3 linked regions of the Yarrowia lipolytica genome follow. The protein of the gene in region 2 purifies or fractionates together with the protein of the main gene of each other region. This does not show direct contact. Links are inferred from orthologs where the notes say so. Each region holds a gene or a part of one and is shown on either strand. Other genes may lie near its edges.

Region 1 (3,948 bases), on a different chromosome or scaffold from region 2:
ACGCTTCTTGGTGGCTTTGTGCAAGTCAACAATCCAGTTTGCAACCTGGGATACCCGTCGATGTAACATCGAGAAAGGCCTGAACCATTCGGCGCAATGGTGGGCATTTCGGTACCGGTAATAGAGCGAGTGGATGATCTCAGCCTCGCTCAGGAATTCGGACACCTGTAGGCCTAGTCCTGCGTTTTCCGTAGTTTTTTGAAGCTCAGCTTTGTATGCCTTTTTCGGGAACGGCGCCTCCCGGTGCTGGTCAGCATATACCGATAACATGACGTATGGTGTTGTGTCAGACTCCCAGACGACACCCAGAAATAATTATTCCTGTCCTGCATTTTCGAACTTTCATGGTGTGAGTGAGTGAAGCAGCTGGGGTGGACAATGTGGACAACACAACAAACGGTACAAGAGACAGGAGTATCGTAGAGTCAATATTCCTATATTGCAAAGGGACTCTTTTGTCAGGCTCCCAATTATTATTAATATTCTTTCATAGTTGTAGCTTTATGGTACGAATGCACTTCATAAAGTCTGGTGTTCCACGACCACAAATATTATAACCAACATCTGGACACGCTATCGCTACACTACGAGTACCAGTGGCGCTACTTGTACTTGCATCGAAATCATCAAAACCTATCATTCAGTGTGTCAAGTTTAGTTACAAAATATCTATATACAATTATCTTCCGACGTTGAGAAGAAGAGAGTTGCCAGAGGAAGCGCCATTGGATCCGTTGCCTCCCTTGGGCAGGTAAGTGACGTTGTTGGACTGGGCAAGAGTGGTGGCAATCTCCTTGGAGGCCTCGATTCGTCGAATCAAGAGCAGACCATCACCGGCCTTCTCAAGAGCCTTGGAAATGGCCTCGGCGGACTCGGCTTCTCCCTCAGCTCGGATAACGGCGGCTTGTCGCTCCTGCTCGGCCTTCTCGACGATGAATCGGGCTCGCTCGGCATCCTGCTGGGCAATTTGCTTCTGCTCAACGGCCTTGGTGAACTCCTTTCCGAAGGTCATGTGGGTAATGGAGACATCCTCGAGGGCAATGTTGAACTCACCGGCTCGCTTGACAAGATCCTCTCGAATTCGGGCGGAAACAACCTCTCGCTGGGTAATGAGCTCGGCGGCATCGAATTGAGCGACAATAGACTTGAGCACCTCGTTACCAATGGAGGGCAGGACTCGCTCGTCGTAGTCGAGACCAAGAGACTGGTAGATGTGGGGAAGCTGGGAAATGACGGGTCGGTGCAGAACTCGCAGGGTCAGAGAAACCATCTGCAGATCCTTGGATCCGGTGGTGGTGGCGATGTTTCGGGGCTTGGTTCGGACATCGAAGATAATGTCCTTCTGGAGCCAGGGAACGAGGAAGTGGGTTCCCTCTCCGATCACGTTCTGCTTGACACCGGCAAGACGGTCGAAGATGACAGCTCGGTAGCCACCACGAACGTCGTACATGGCGGACTGCATCAAGGTGATGCCAACACCGACAGGAATGGCGATGGCTGGGTTAGTATGGGGTCTCGAGATTGCGTGTTGCTGTGGATGTGCGGTGCGGCACCCCCACGCCAAGTTGGCAAACATGCCATTGTTTGGTGTCAGGATATTCGCAATGGCACATTGAACTTATGTATGGACTCATCTTCCCTTTCCAGCCTTTCAATACTCACTTGTAAGGACTCCCAATAATCTGTTGGACATGGTTGCGGTGGGGAGAAAGAGGAAATGGTGTAAAAGTTTATGTGGACGCCTCCCAGTTCAAGAGCACAACGATAATTAGGGGAGGGTTACAGTAACCGAAAACGAGGCTCAGGGGGAGTAATATCTGGAGTGTGAAAGAAGAATTGTTTCATTTTTGAAGCAGAGTTGAATCTGGCCAATCATATTTCGTTTATCCAGTTTCCAACTTGTTCCCCTGCTCACACCACTCATAACCTGTACAAGGCTATCTGAATAACTTGCATGAACATTTCAGCCGTCATAATCAGAGACTACAAGGAACTTGTAATCCACACATGCCTGTCGCCAAAGACCTGTTTCCAGAGTATGGTACTCTCGCGACCGGCGAAAATGAACCCTCTCGAAATATCCGACGTGCTCAAAAACTCAGGGAGTTCCAGAACCTCGAACTTCCACCATACCTAGCAAAGCAGGTGGCTGCCAAAATGGCAGAGAAGGGTTTGGCAGTGGAAGCCACAGGAGGTGTGGCAGTCCAGCGAATCGCAGGAGGATCTCAGAGCGGCCAGAAGGCTCTGATGGGAGCTTCTTCCTCGGCACTCACGAAACACACGCCCTCTGCAAGCCAACCAACTACACACGACAGTCTCACTAATCTCGGAGCCAACCTTACACAGTCGAAACCGGCGTGGCACGCACCATGGGAGATCTACAGAGTCATTACAGGCCATCAGGGCTGGGTGAGATCTGTTTGTGTTGAACCAGAGAACCAGTGGTTTGCTACAGGTTCTGCAGACAAGACTATCAAGATCTGGGATCTGGCTACAGGAAAATTGCGACTGACTCTCACAGGACACATTATGGGTGTTAGAGCATTGGGAGTGTCGCCACGACATCCTTACATGTTTTCGGGAGGTGAAGACAAGATGGTCAAGTGTTGGGATCTGGAAACTAACAAGGTCGTTCGACACTACCATGGCCATCTCTCTGCAGTCTACTCGCTGGACATTCATCCTACTCTGGATGTCCTAGTGTCTGCTGGTCGAGACGCTGTGGCCCGTGTGTGGGACATTCGTACTCGTGACCCTGTGGTTGTTCTCAGTGGACACAAGTCGACTATCAACAGAGTCAAGTTCCAGGCCTCTGAACCCCAGGTGATTACAGCTTCGGCAGATGAGACTGTGCGACTGTGGAACCTACAGGCCGGGAAGACCATGACAACGCTCACGCATCACAAGAAGAGTGTGCGAGGCCTCACTTTACATCCCGAGGAGTTCACTTTCTCCACGGCCTCTGCTAACTCCAGTAAGCAATGGAAGTGTCCCGAGGGCGATCTAGTGCTCAACTACGACGACCAGAACGCTATCATCAATACCCTGTCCGTTAACCAAGACAACGTCATGTTTTCGGGAGGCGACAACGGCTCTATTGGCTTTTATGACTGGAAGACTGGACATATGTTCCAGAGCACCCAGTCTATTCCCATCCCAGGATCTATCGAGAGTGAAAACGGTATTTTCGACTCCAGTTTCGACAAGACTGGTCTTCGCCTCATCACCTGTGAGGCTGACAAGAGCATCAAAATGTGGCGCGAGAAGCCCAATGCCACAGCAGAAAGTGATCCCGGTCTCGAATGGAAACCCAAGATATACCAGACCTATTAGAGGGATGGTGTATCAGAATTTCGCATATTTAATGTATTTTTAGTTACAAGTACAATTGTATTGGTTGGCGTTGTCATTCTTTTGTTTTGCTTTCCCTCCTTTTCAGCCTTCGCTCTACTTGTAGGCCAGTGGTACCAATACAGGCACAGTATATGGACCCAATTCCAGAACCATACTTATACAATTTTCATTTTTTTCCGGAAACATAAAAATGGATGGTCTCCAAATAAAAATGAAATAACAACTACATGTACATTGTACTTGTACAGTTGGATATATGTGTGTTTCACCAATATAATCGCAGATTTAATAACTGAATAATATCATATAACAAGACGATATTTCGTAAATTCCCCCCTACAGTAACTGGCACATTCCTGTCTCTATTAAGGTGGCTGTACTCATCTCCCAACATCACGTGACCATAACTATTTTCAGTTTATCAAAATTTTGTCGCCACCCGAACATCAACGAGCAATAGCGCGACGAAGCTATATAACACCCAGGCAGTTTACTGTCGCTCACAACACCTCCAAAGATGGCTCTCGCAGAAGCAGACTTGCCCAACGGCAAAACCAACGGCAAAGCCTCGGGGTCCGAGGAGACTCCTGCGCC
Region 2 (8,191 bases):
TGGGACATTTCTCCGGTGTGAGCGATTAGTGGGTTGTGGTGGTGCCCATAGCAGACCTAAAATTGACTCTCCTCACTTGACAACACACAGATAGAACCTGCAACTTCATCCAAGTGGCGCTTTTCTCAATCCAGTCCGTGTGAAAACAAGACAATTGACCATGCTCACTGCCGCTCGACGATCTACACGGCTCACCAGCCGACTCGGCCACCAGGTCCGAGCATACTCCATCGCTGACGATGCCGACAAGGTGAGTATTTTTTTCGCCCATTGCGTTGGGGTGTCGTGGATTTGGGTTACAGGGAGTTTTTCCGAAACATACGCCTCACGAAACACGACGAAACGGACGACACAGACATGCCATCGACGCGGGACCCCTCGGAAATGATTCTACGGATGCCATTACCCCTGGCGGTGGCGTCTCGTTGACGCTGCTGAGATTGTTAATGAGAAACGGGCCTAGAGAAAATCGAACCTCTAGGAACGCATGCACCCGGAAAAATTATTCCTCACCCACCAGCAATCCATCACAAAACGTGGCAAAACAGCTTCAATCGACCGTATACTAACCCCAGAAATGCACAATCACGCTCAAGGAGGATTCTTACACCACCTACATGCTTGATTCTCCCCCTCCTCTCGAGTTCGAGATGACCAAGGGTGAGCTTCTGCAAATGTACAAGGACATGGTGACCGTCCGACGACTCGAGATGGCTGCTGATGCCCTCTACAAGGCCAAGAAGATCCGAGGTTTCTGCCATCTGTCTACTGGTCAGGAGGCTGTTGCCGTCGGTATCGAGAAGGCCATCGACCACGACGATTCTGTCATCACCGCCTACCGATGCCACGGTTTCGCCTACATGCGAGGTGCCTCTGTCCGAGCAATCATCGCCGAGCTGCTCGGAAAGCGAACCGGTGTCTCCTACGGTAAGGGTGGATCCATGCACATGTTCACCGAGGGTTTCTACGGAGGAAACGGTATTGTCGGAGCCCAGGTCCCCGTCGGAGCTGGTCTCGCCTTCGCCCACAAGTACCTCGAGCAGACCGGAAAGGCCACCTTTGCCCTGTACGGTGACGGTGCTTCCAACCAGGGTCAGATCTTCGAGGCCTACAACATGGCCAAGCTCTGGGACCTCCCCTGCATCTTTGCATGCGAGAACAACAAGTACGGAATGGGTACCGCTGCTGCTCGATCCTCTGCCCTGACGCAGTACTACAAGCGAGGTCAGTACATTCCCGGTCTCAAGGTTAACGGAATGGACATTCTGTCCGTCTACCAGGGAGCCAAGTTCGCCAAGGAGTGGACCACACACGGCAAGGGTCCCCTCGTCATGGAGTTCGAGACCTACCGATACGGTGGTCACTCCATGTCCGATCCCGGAACCACCTACCGAACCCGAGAGGAGATCCAGTACATGCGATCCCACAACGATCCTATTTCTGGTCTCAAGGCCCACATCCTGGAGCTTAACTTCGCCACTGAGGACGAGCTTAAGTCTGTGGACAAGGCTGCTCGAGCTATGGTTGACAAGGAGGTTGCCCTTGCTGAGTCCGACCCTGCTCCCGAGGCTACTGCCAAGGTTCTGTTTGAGGATATCTACGTTCCCGGCACCGAGCCTCCTGTGATCCGAGGCCGAATCCCTTCCGAGGACTACTACTTTAAGAACTAAGTAGAGTAGAATGTAATTACTAATGTACGAGCCGTCGTTTTCTGAGAATGAGTAGAAAGCAGGAGTACAGTACATAGATTGGGTGAGCTTGAAGTGATTGTGGAAAATGTTGCGAGAGAAACATGGTGAATAGTAAGTGAGAAAGAATTTATCCCATTTATTTTATCATTTTTTGCCCTTTTGAAGGCACGCACTCGGGCTAGTACAAGCATCTGTCGTAGAATCTGCAGTATATTCTACTTGTAAATTGACCCTGCTGCACTGTGGGCTCACCACCCAATTTTAACATCTTGTTATGCATATGGTTCAGAAAATAAGCACATCTACGCTGAAATAAATCCTTCACGCAACACCCACGACACCAAGCACATCATGTCGAACAACAATGACATGTCTCGTTACAAATAGTGAGTATTAGAGGGGATGGTGTGATATGACTCGGCTTTGTGTGACAAACGCCATTCTGGATCACTTACTAACTACAGCGAGGAGATGTCCTCTATTGTGGTGCAGGCCGATAGAAGGCACATCAACAGAGAGAGTGGCGAAGACAAGGCTATTCCCGAGTCTTTAGTGGGAAAGATCAACGTTAAGGATATGGGATCTGGTGTGCGACGGGAGGTTCCGGATGCTGGGGTTCGTCAACAGCAGGAAAAGATGGCACGCAAGGAACGAATGACTTCCAAGCCTACTTCGGTCTACTCTTCCAGCGGTTTGTACACTCCACAAATGCCTCAAACTCGTGAAGCGTTTGAGCTGCTCATGGCATGGACGGGGCGTGTTCTTGGGGATGTATCACACGAGACTATCTGTGCTGTTACGGACGAGTTGATCGCTACTCTACGAGACGAGAAGCTGCAGGACAAGCAGCGGCAAAAGGAGATAGAGAGCATTGTTGGAAAACTATCCAACACGGACTTCAACCAGGCCATGAGTTTGGCTGCTCGTCTTACTGACTATGCTGAGAATCAGGACGAGGAGATGGCTGACGATGGAGAGAGCGGAGTGGCTGTGGTTTTCGACGGAAGCGACGACGAGGACGCCATGGACCTTTCCGAAGATGATGAGGATTTGAGTGATATGGACGGCGATTACGTTCGACGTGTGCCTGTTGCTCAGAGGGAGGGCGAGGATGAGGAAGATATGGACGTGGAGCAGACTGTTGTGGAGGCTGCCAAGGAGTCCGATTCAGACGTAATCCCTGCTACAGAAATCGACTCGTTCTGGCTACAACGTGAAATTGCATCCCTAGTCGGTGGTGATCAACAGGAGAGTATTGATCTATCTCGTCGGGTGTTTGATATTCTTGCCGGGGAGTCTTCTCTGCGTGAGACTGAGAACGAACTGTCTGAGGCCTTTGATTTCGACCATCTCGACTTTGTCGCCAAGCTGTGTCATAACAGAGACCGCGTTGTTTGGATTACACGACTTCAGCGAGCCGATGGACCTGAGAAGGACACTGTGAAGAAGCAGATGACGTCTTTGGGACTGGCATCTCTCGTCTCTGAGCTACACGGTGAAACGGAGACTTCGGAAGATGTGGATATGGACGTCACAGAAGATGCTTCTCAGACTTACGTTCCCAGATACATTGATACACAGTCACTTGTGTTTGATCAGGGTGCTAGACTCCTGACATCTTCGAAGGTCAAGCTCCCAGCAAACACTACAAAACACAGCACCAGTCAGTACGAAGAGTTTGTCATTCCTGCTCCTGAAAGAGCTATCCCTGATGCTAATGAGAAGGTGGTATCAATCGCTGATATGCCTTCTTGGACACATGTTGGCTTTTCTGATACCAAGTCTCTCAATCGAATTCAGAGCAAGGTGTTCCCCTGTGCATTCGAATCTGACGACAACATGCTTATTTGTGCACCCACCGGTGCTGGTAAGACCAATGTTGCATTCCTGGCCATGCTGCGGTGCCTGTCTCATTTCAGAGCTCCCAATGGAGGCTTTAGAACCAATGACTTCAAGATGGTGTACATTGCCCCGCTCAAGGCTCTGGTCCAGGAGCAGGTCCGAGAGTTCAGCAAGCGACTCAACTCCATGGGATTGAAAGTGTCCGAGTTGACTGGTGATCATAATCTGACTAAGCAGCAGATTGCAGAGACTCAGCTGCTGGTGACCACGCCGGAAAAATGGGATGTCATCACCCGAAAGGCTGCCGATTCCAGCTACACCAACCTCGTCAGACTGATTGTTATTGATGAGATTCATTTGCTGCATGATGAGCGAGGACCTGTCCTTGAAAGCATTGTTGCGCGAACAACACGTCGGTCAGAGCAGACTGGAGACCCTGTTCGAATCGTTGGTCTCTCTGCCACGCTTCCCAACTTCAAGGATGTCGCATCGTTTCTTCGAGTTGGTGAGACAGGTCTTTTCTACTTTGATTCCACTTTTAGACCTTGTCCTCTGGGACAGCGGTTCCTTGGTATCACCGAGAAGAAAGCTTTCAAGCGATACACAGCCATGAACGACGCATGCTTCGACAAAGTGATTGAAAACATCAAGGCTGGACACCAGGTGATTGTCTTTGTGCACTCCCGAAAGGAGACCGCCAAGACAGCTCGAATGCTGCGAGATCGTGCCATGGACGAGGGCCTGCTGCCTCTTTTTTGTGCCTCTGATGGCAGTCGTCGAACTCTTGCAGAGCGTGCCCAAGATCCTGAACTCGATGCCACACAGAAAGAGATCATCGGAACTGGTCTCGCTACCCATCATGCTGGTCTTGCACAGGTTGACCGTAAGGCTGCGGAGGAGCTCTTTGCTGAGGGACATGTCCGTGTTTTGGTGTCTACTGCCACTCTGGCTTGGGGTGTCAATCTTCCCGCACATACCGTCATCATCAAGGGTACTCAAATTTACAATCCTGCCAAGGGTCAATGGACCGAGCTGTCTCCTCAGGACGTTCTCCAGATGCTTGGTCGTGCTGGTCGACCTCGATACGACGACTCTGGTGAAGGTATCATCATTACTACCCACGGGGAACTCAACTACTATCTGTCGCTGATGAACCAACAACTCCCTATTGAGTCTCAGCTTATGTCACGGCTGGAGGATTCTCTTAACGCAGAGGTTGTCGGTGGCACAGTTTCTTCGGTGGGTGATGGTATTCAGTGGCTAGGTTATACTTACCTCTACGTCCGAATGCTTGTTTCTCCTGGTATATACCTTGTTGGATCTAATCCCGATGATGCCGCTCTTACTAACCGACGTGCCGACCTCGTTCATTCGGCTCTCAGCAACCTGGCCAAGTCTGGTCTCGTCATCTACGACACCAAGACTGGCCGTGTGCGTGCCAACGATCTCGGTAGAGTGGCTGCACATTACTACATCACTCACTCGTCTATGCGAACATACCGAATTTCTCTCAAGCCCCATTTCTCCATTGTGGAGCTGTTCCAGGTGTTCTCCGCCTCTGAGGAGTTCAAATATGTGGGAGTTCGCCAAGAAGAGAAGCTAGAGTTGGGAAAGTTGCTGGAATCGGCACCCATCCCTGTTCGAGAGTCCGTTGAGGACTCCACTGCCAAGATCAACGTTCTTCTTCAGGCTTTCATTTCCCGACTGAGTCTCGAGGGCTTTGCACTGGTATCCGATATGATATACGTGACCCAAAGTGCCCAGCGTCTGTTCCGAGCCATCTATGAGTTCTGTCTGAGAAAGAAATGGGCTCGACTAGCCCGAATTACCCTTGACGTGTGCAAGATGGTTGAGCAGCGTCTGTGGCTATCCTCTTGTCCTCTCCGTCAGTTTCCTGACTGCCCTGCTGAGGTTGCCAAGAAAATTGAGGCTTCTGCTATGCCTTGGAAGCGGTACTTATCGCTGGAGAATGCAGAACAGGTTGGAGAAGCTATCCGAACTCCTCGATATGGCACTCCTGTGTTCCGAATGCTTCAGAAGTTCCCCCAGCTCAAGCTGTCTGCTCGCGCACTGCCCGTTACTGCCTCTCTCGTGCGACTGGAGATTGAGGTGGAGCCCAGTTTTGAGTGGGACGTTTCTATTCACCATGGTTCCGAGCCCTTTGCTCTGACTGTGGAAGACGGAGACGGTGAGAAGATTCTTTACTCGGACTCGTGGACCCTACGGCGAGATTACGCCACTGAGACTCACTTAATTGAGGTGTCTGTCACTGTTGCTGACCCCCGACCTCCTCATCTATTTGTGACTCTGTCTTCCGAGAGATGGTTGCACGCCGACGCTCGTCTGGCTGTGCCTTTGCGAAACATTGTCTTCCCAGGAAAGTTCCCAGCCCCTACTCAGCTTATTGATCTGCAGCCTGTCCCTGTTGTTGAGCTAAAGCGAGCCGATTGCGCCGGGCTCTACGACTTTTCTTTCTTCAACAAGATCCAATCGCAGCTGTTCAGACCTCTTGTGGAGGGCGACGGCTCCGTCTTTGTTGGAGCTCCTCCTGGGTCTGGTAAGACTGTTCTCGCCGAGCTGGCTCTACTGAGACTGTGGAATGAAGATGCTGATGCCAAGACTGTGTACATGGCTCCCACACAAGCCCAAGTTGATGCTCGCTACGATGATTGGAGTCAGCGAATGAACGAGATTCATGGAGGAAAGACCTTCTCAAAGCTGTCTGGTGAGCTTGCTGCTGACTTACGGAAGCTGGCCACCTCCGATGTGGTTTTGGCCACTCCTAACCAGTGGGATTCTTTGTCTCGACGGTGGCAGAAGCGAGCTGCTGTCAGAGCTGTAAGCCTGTTCATTGCCGACGACGTGCATCTGGTTGGCGGCGATGGTACCTACGAGACTGTCGTTTCTCGAATGAGATATATCGATGTACAGTTGCAGGAGAGTGGTGCTGGACGACCTCTTAGAATTGTCGGACTGGGTGTTCCTGTTGCCGATGGAGTAGATATGGCTGGATGGCTTGACGCCACTCCCTACAACTTCAAACCTTGGACTGCTTCTCCTACCAATATCCACATTCAGTCGTTGTCCATCCCTCATCACCCTTCTCTCATGCAGGCTTTCCTTCGACCTACATACAATGCCATTCTTGAGCTTGCTCCCCCCAAGCACTCCCAGACTGTGATCTTTGTGGACTCTCGTCGAACTCTTGTGGATGTGACCATTGGTCTTTCCACGATTGCGGACGAGCAAGTTCTGGTGCCTCCTGTTCCTGAGGACTCCAATTTGGAGCTTGCTATGGCACAGGTGACTGACAACACTCTCAAGGAGGCCATTCAGAGCGGTATTGGCCACCTCTACCCCAGCATGTCTTCCAGAGACCGTAAGATTGTGTTGGCACTGTATGCTGAGCAGTCCATCTCCACAATCATTGCTACCCGTGAGGAATGTTGGACCTCGCCTCGTTCTCAACTGAGTGTCATTCTTGGTACCCAGACCTACGAGGGATCTGAGCACCGATACGTCAACTACCCCATCTCTACGGTCTTGCAGATGATTGGACAGGCTTCCAACGACGCCCTGGTGCTGACTCCCGCTGCTGCCAAGGACTACTACCTGCGGTTCCTCAACGATTCTCTTCCTGTGGAATCCAACTTGGGAGCATCCCTACATGATGCTCTTTTGGCAGAGATCTGTGAGAAAGTGATAGAGTCCATGGATGACACTGTGGCCTGGTTAACCTACACGTACCTGTACCGACGCCTGCATGCCAATCCTGGTTTCTACGGTGTCCCTGACCGATCAGATGATGCTCTCAACGTCTATCTTTCTGAGCTCGCTGAGACTACTGTAGAACAGCTTGTTGAGGCAAAGATGGTCGAGATGGACGACGAGGGTGGATTGGAGCCTCTCAATGCTGCATCCATTGCATCCTACTACAACGTGTCTTTCGATACTATGGCTACTCTCACATCTGCCCTCTCTCCCAAGAGTAAGTATAGATCTATCTTGCAGGCTGTCACCACTGCAGCTGAGTTTGACTCTCTTCCCATCCGAAACCACGAGGACATTCTGTTGAGACGTCTTTATGGCCACATCCCCTGGAAGCTTCCCGAGCTGGACTCTGCTGTTCTTCTCACTCCTGCTTTCAAGGCCTTTGTGCTGGCTCAATGTCATATTGCTCGGCTGAATCTCCCTTCGGAGTTGACTGCTGATCAGGCCGAGGTTGTCCAGCTGCTGCCTACCCTGCTGGCTGCCTCTGTTGATCTTCTGGCTTCTGAGGGCCATCAATCATGCATGTACGCAATGGACCTGTCCCAAATGGTTGTTCAAGCTACTCTTGAGTCTGATTCGCCTCTGCGACAGGTGCCTTTTTTCACTCCCGAAATCATCGACGATCTCAGGGGGGCGGGGGTTGAGGCAGTCGGAGACATTTCCGAGCTGGACGAGGACAAGCTCAAGGGCATTCTCAACTTTACTGCGAAGCAACTCAAGCGTGTCATTGACTTTGTGGACGCCTACCCAAGTATTCAGCTCAGCTATGAGCTTGCTGACTCTTACGCTACTAACGATGTCGGAACCATCGAGGTCACTGTGGAGAGAGATGTGTACGAGGAGGATGAGCGTGCTAATCTGGAGGTGGTTGCTCCCCTGTTCCCCCA
Region 3 (2,700 bases), on a different chromosome or scaffold from region 2:
ACTGTTTTTTCTTATTGGCTCGTATTTCGATCAGTCGATTTATGGGTTGCCTAAACGAAGCTAATACCCGTAACACACTACAAGGAACTAACACAAGATTGTTATAATTATATATATACTCCAGTAGAAAGCCACGATATGATAAGATAGCGCAGAAGCCACTGGATGTTAAAGGTGCTGCCGTATACATGATTCTCTGCCTCGCTTAAGCGGTCAGTCCAGTATTACGTATGTGCAGCACTTCCGCGCTGTAGGGTAATTAACACACGACCATCGTCACCTCGCTCATAATAATGGTTTGTCCACAAGAGCAATATATCGCCTATACACCCAACGAGAAAACGGTTCAACACGCACACTAATTGTATTAACGCGCCCCAGACCTGTCAGTGTTCCCTAGACACCACACAAAACCAAACCGCCGACGAAAACTACCGCTCTTATCATGAATATCATAACTTATAATATGTAAGGTCAGAATGAGTTGTTGTGTGCCATACATTTCTCTGACCGAATTAATGGATGCCAGACTCACGTCGTCCTTCCACGGGTAAAAACGTCATGCCAAAACCATGCCCTTCATTTCAGTTCCTCCTTGGTCAATCTCCTTAGTTGTACGACAGATCAAAGTACAGATCATTCCACACAACACCGGGAGGGTATTTGCAATCGCTCTTGCCCTGATTGGTGAACCCCAGCTTCTCGTAGAAGGGTGCGTTCTCGTCTGTGGCAATGAGCGCGATTCGGCTGGCCACGCCGTTGGTGGAGATTCGCTGCACATAGTCATTCATCAGGATCGATCCGATGGACTTGCCCTGGTACTCGGGGTCCACACAAACAGCATGGACGCCCACGGTGTTTCCGTCCTCCTTGTGTCCGTTCTCCTCGTCGTCAGGGCCCTCCGGGATGCCCATGGAGCCCTTGGTGATCAGGTCTGACCGCATCTTTGTGGCCAGAATCACCGCCACCAGCTTCTCGCTAATCACAGAGGTTGTAGGATGAGGCAGCTGGTCGTCCTCACCGTCGCTGTTCTTGGCTTTGTCCTTGGCGTCGTAACTTCTGATAAATAGACCCAGACACAGCTCGGGGCATGCCTGGAGTCGATACAGCACCTTTTCTCTCGTCGCTGACTGGTCCGGAGGGAAGGCCTTATCTGAGACCTCGACAATGGCATCCACATCCTGTACTGCCAGAGGTCGGATGGCCGAGTGTGGGGGGAGCGTTTTAGTCATTTGATGCGTTTTGTGCGAACGGTGATTTGGATGGTGTTATGATGTATTGGAGTGTGGGCTTGCCAGCGAGAAGGAAAATCGAAACCCAAACAAGGTTGAGGAGATGCGGGATGGTGAAGTTGGTGTAGCGTGAGATGACAGTGCTCAGAAAGCGTCCCAGAGTATGCAAGGGTGTGATTTTTTGAGGGGAAACAGCTTAAGGGTTCATATATATACTCCCAGGCTTTTTTACTGTCACCAAAGCTAACGTGATTTCTGTGTTTAGTCACCTCTGCTGCTGGATGTACGTCAGAATAGAGAGTTAATAGGCACGAGAGCAAGAGGGTGGAAACACAACAGATTGATAAACACAATGGAGAGAGCTTGGCTTTTGACGTTAGAGTGTCTAGAGGGGTAAATATTACAGAAAAAATATATATCTGTGGGTATTTTGGTCTGTTATCCTGCCCAAACTCGAAGTCCACCTTTTATCGTTCCGTGTCGACTGTACCCCTCTGATCACGTGACCATAAGCCATGCACAACACTTTAATCAAAAACCACACCAGCATCAAACAACAGTCTCCGAACACACAACATCACACACAATGAGCGAGCAAGCTGAGCCCCAGGTATCGCAAATTCTGCCTCTGGAGCTGGTCGACAAGTGCATAGGATCCAAGATTCTGGTGCTGGTCAAGTCCAAGGTCGAGTTCACTGGCACTCTGGTCGGATTCGACGATTTCGTCAACATGGTGCTGGAGGACGTGACCGAGGTCAACACAAAAACTGGCAAGGAGACCAATCACAGCAAGCTGTTGTTGAGTGGAAAGAGCATCTACATGGTGAGTGAAGTTGGGGATATTTATGGCTGATCAGATAGGGAAGGAAGTCACGAGAAGATTAACTAACACAGCTTGTCCCTGGAGGACTTTAAGTGTATTATAGGATAATGATATTGGATGATTGGATTATGGTGGTTGCTACGATGTCGTGGTGGTGGTTTGATGGCGTGGTAAGCTTGATAGGCTGGATTGTAGTGGCGAAGCTGGACCGAGATCAGGTGTATAGTATGGGGGTTTGATTCGAGGAACTGAGTTGCTGTGGAACAATGCGCAGTGCCAGAGATGCAGGCTGCTTCCTTTCAACACTCTTGTAGCTTGCTTAGAATCTCACTCCACATAGCAGGTGAGATCAGATTAACTAGGCTCTGGTTTATGAACGAGATCATACAAGTAACTGATAGTTCGCAAAGAGATCAAGCTATCTTTACTAAGGAGTCGCAATCTTTTCATACATACAGAGAATAAAAATACATTGTAAAGTACCTACTGTTGATGTCTGATCTGTCGTCAATTTGGGTTCCTATCATTCTGTGTTCACTTCTTATCCAGAATTGCAGTATTGACATCACTGATCTTCCACAGAATTAGCATCATTACTGAACGGTAAGGAGCAAACCGATGGGCCACCCAGGTCATTTCATCTGC

What was found. The genes of interacting proteins can lie anywhere in the genome.
Region 1: the proteins of YALI1_F27574g (region 2) and YALI1_E05664g purify together in Saccharomyces cerevisiae (affinity purification with mass spectrometry; 3 studies listed by BioGRID). This does not show direct contact. The link is inferred for Yarrowia lipolytica from reciprocal best matches to the Saccharomyces cerevisiae genes BRR2 and PRP46.
Region 3: the proteins of YALI1_F27574g (region 2) and YALI1_B18613g purify together in Saccharomyces cerevisiae (affinity purification with mass spectrometry; 6 studies listed by BioGRID, with this or other methods). This does not show direct contact. The link is inferred for Yarrowia lipolytica from reciprocal best matches to the Saccharomyces cerevisiae genes BRR2 and LSM5.

The regions. Positions count from the first base shown.
Region 1 is NC_090774.1:564,472-568,419, reverse strand, and holds YALI1_E05664g (uncharacterized protein), read left to right. Parts: upstream 1-2,007; coding exon 2,008-3,333; downstream 3,334-3,948. Other genes in the region: YALI1_E05681g (uncharacterized protein), read right to left, coding at 1-270; YALI1_E05668g (uncharacterized protein), read right to left, coding at 680-1,576; YALI1_E05645g (uncharacterized protein), read left to right, coding at 3,872-3,948. UniProt on the Saccharomyces cerevisiae protein: Involved in pre-mRNA splicing. May also be required for cell cycle progression at G2/M.
Region 2 is NC_090775.1:2,755,455-2,763,645, forward strand, and holds the start of YALI1_F27574g (uncharacterized protein), read left to right. Parts: upstream 1-2,042; coding exon 2,043-2,077; intron 2,078-2,155; coding exon 2,156-8,191. Other genes in the region: YALI1_F27556g (uncharacterized protein), read left to right, coding at 161-250, 576-1,670.
Region 3 is NC_090771.1:1,859,493-1,862,192, forward strand, and holds YALI1_B18613g (uncharacterized protein), read left to right. Parts: upstream 1-1,818; coding exon 1,819-2,085; downstream 2,086-2,700. Other genes in the region: YALI1_B18607g (uncharacterized protein), read right to left, coding at 609-1,232; YALI1_B18631g (uncharacterized protein), read right to left, coding at 2,590-2,700. UniProt on the Saccharomyces cerevisiae protein: Component of LSm protein complexes, which are involved in RNA processing and may function in a chaperone-like manner. Component of the cytoplasmic LSM1-LSM7 complex which is involved in mRNA degradation by activating the decapping step.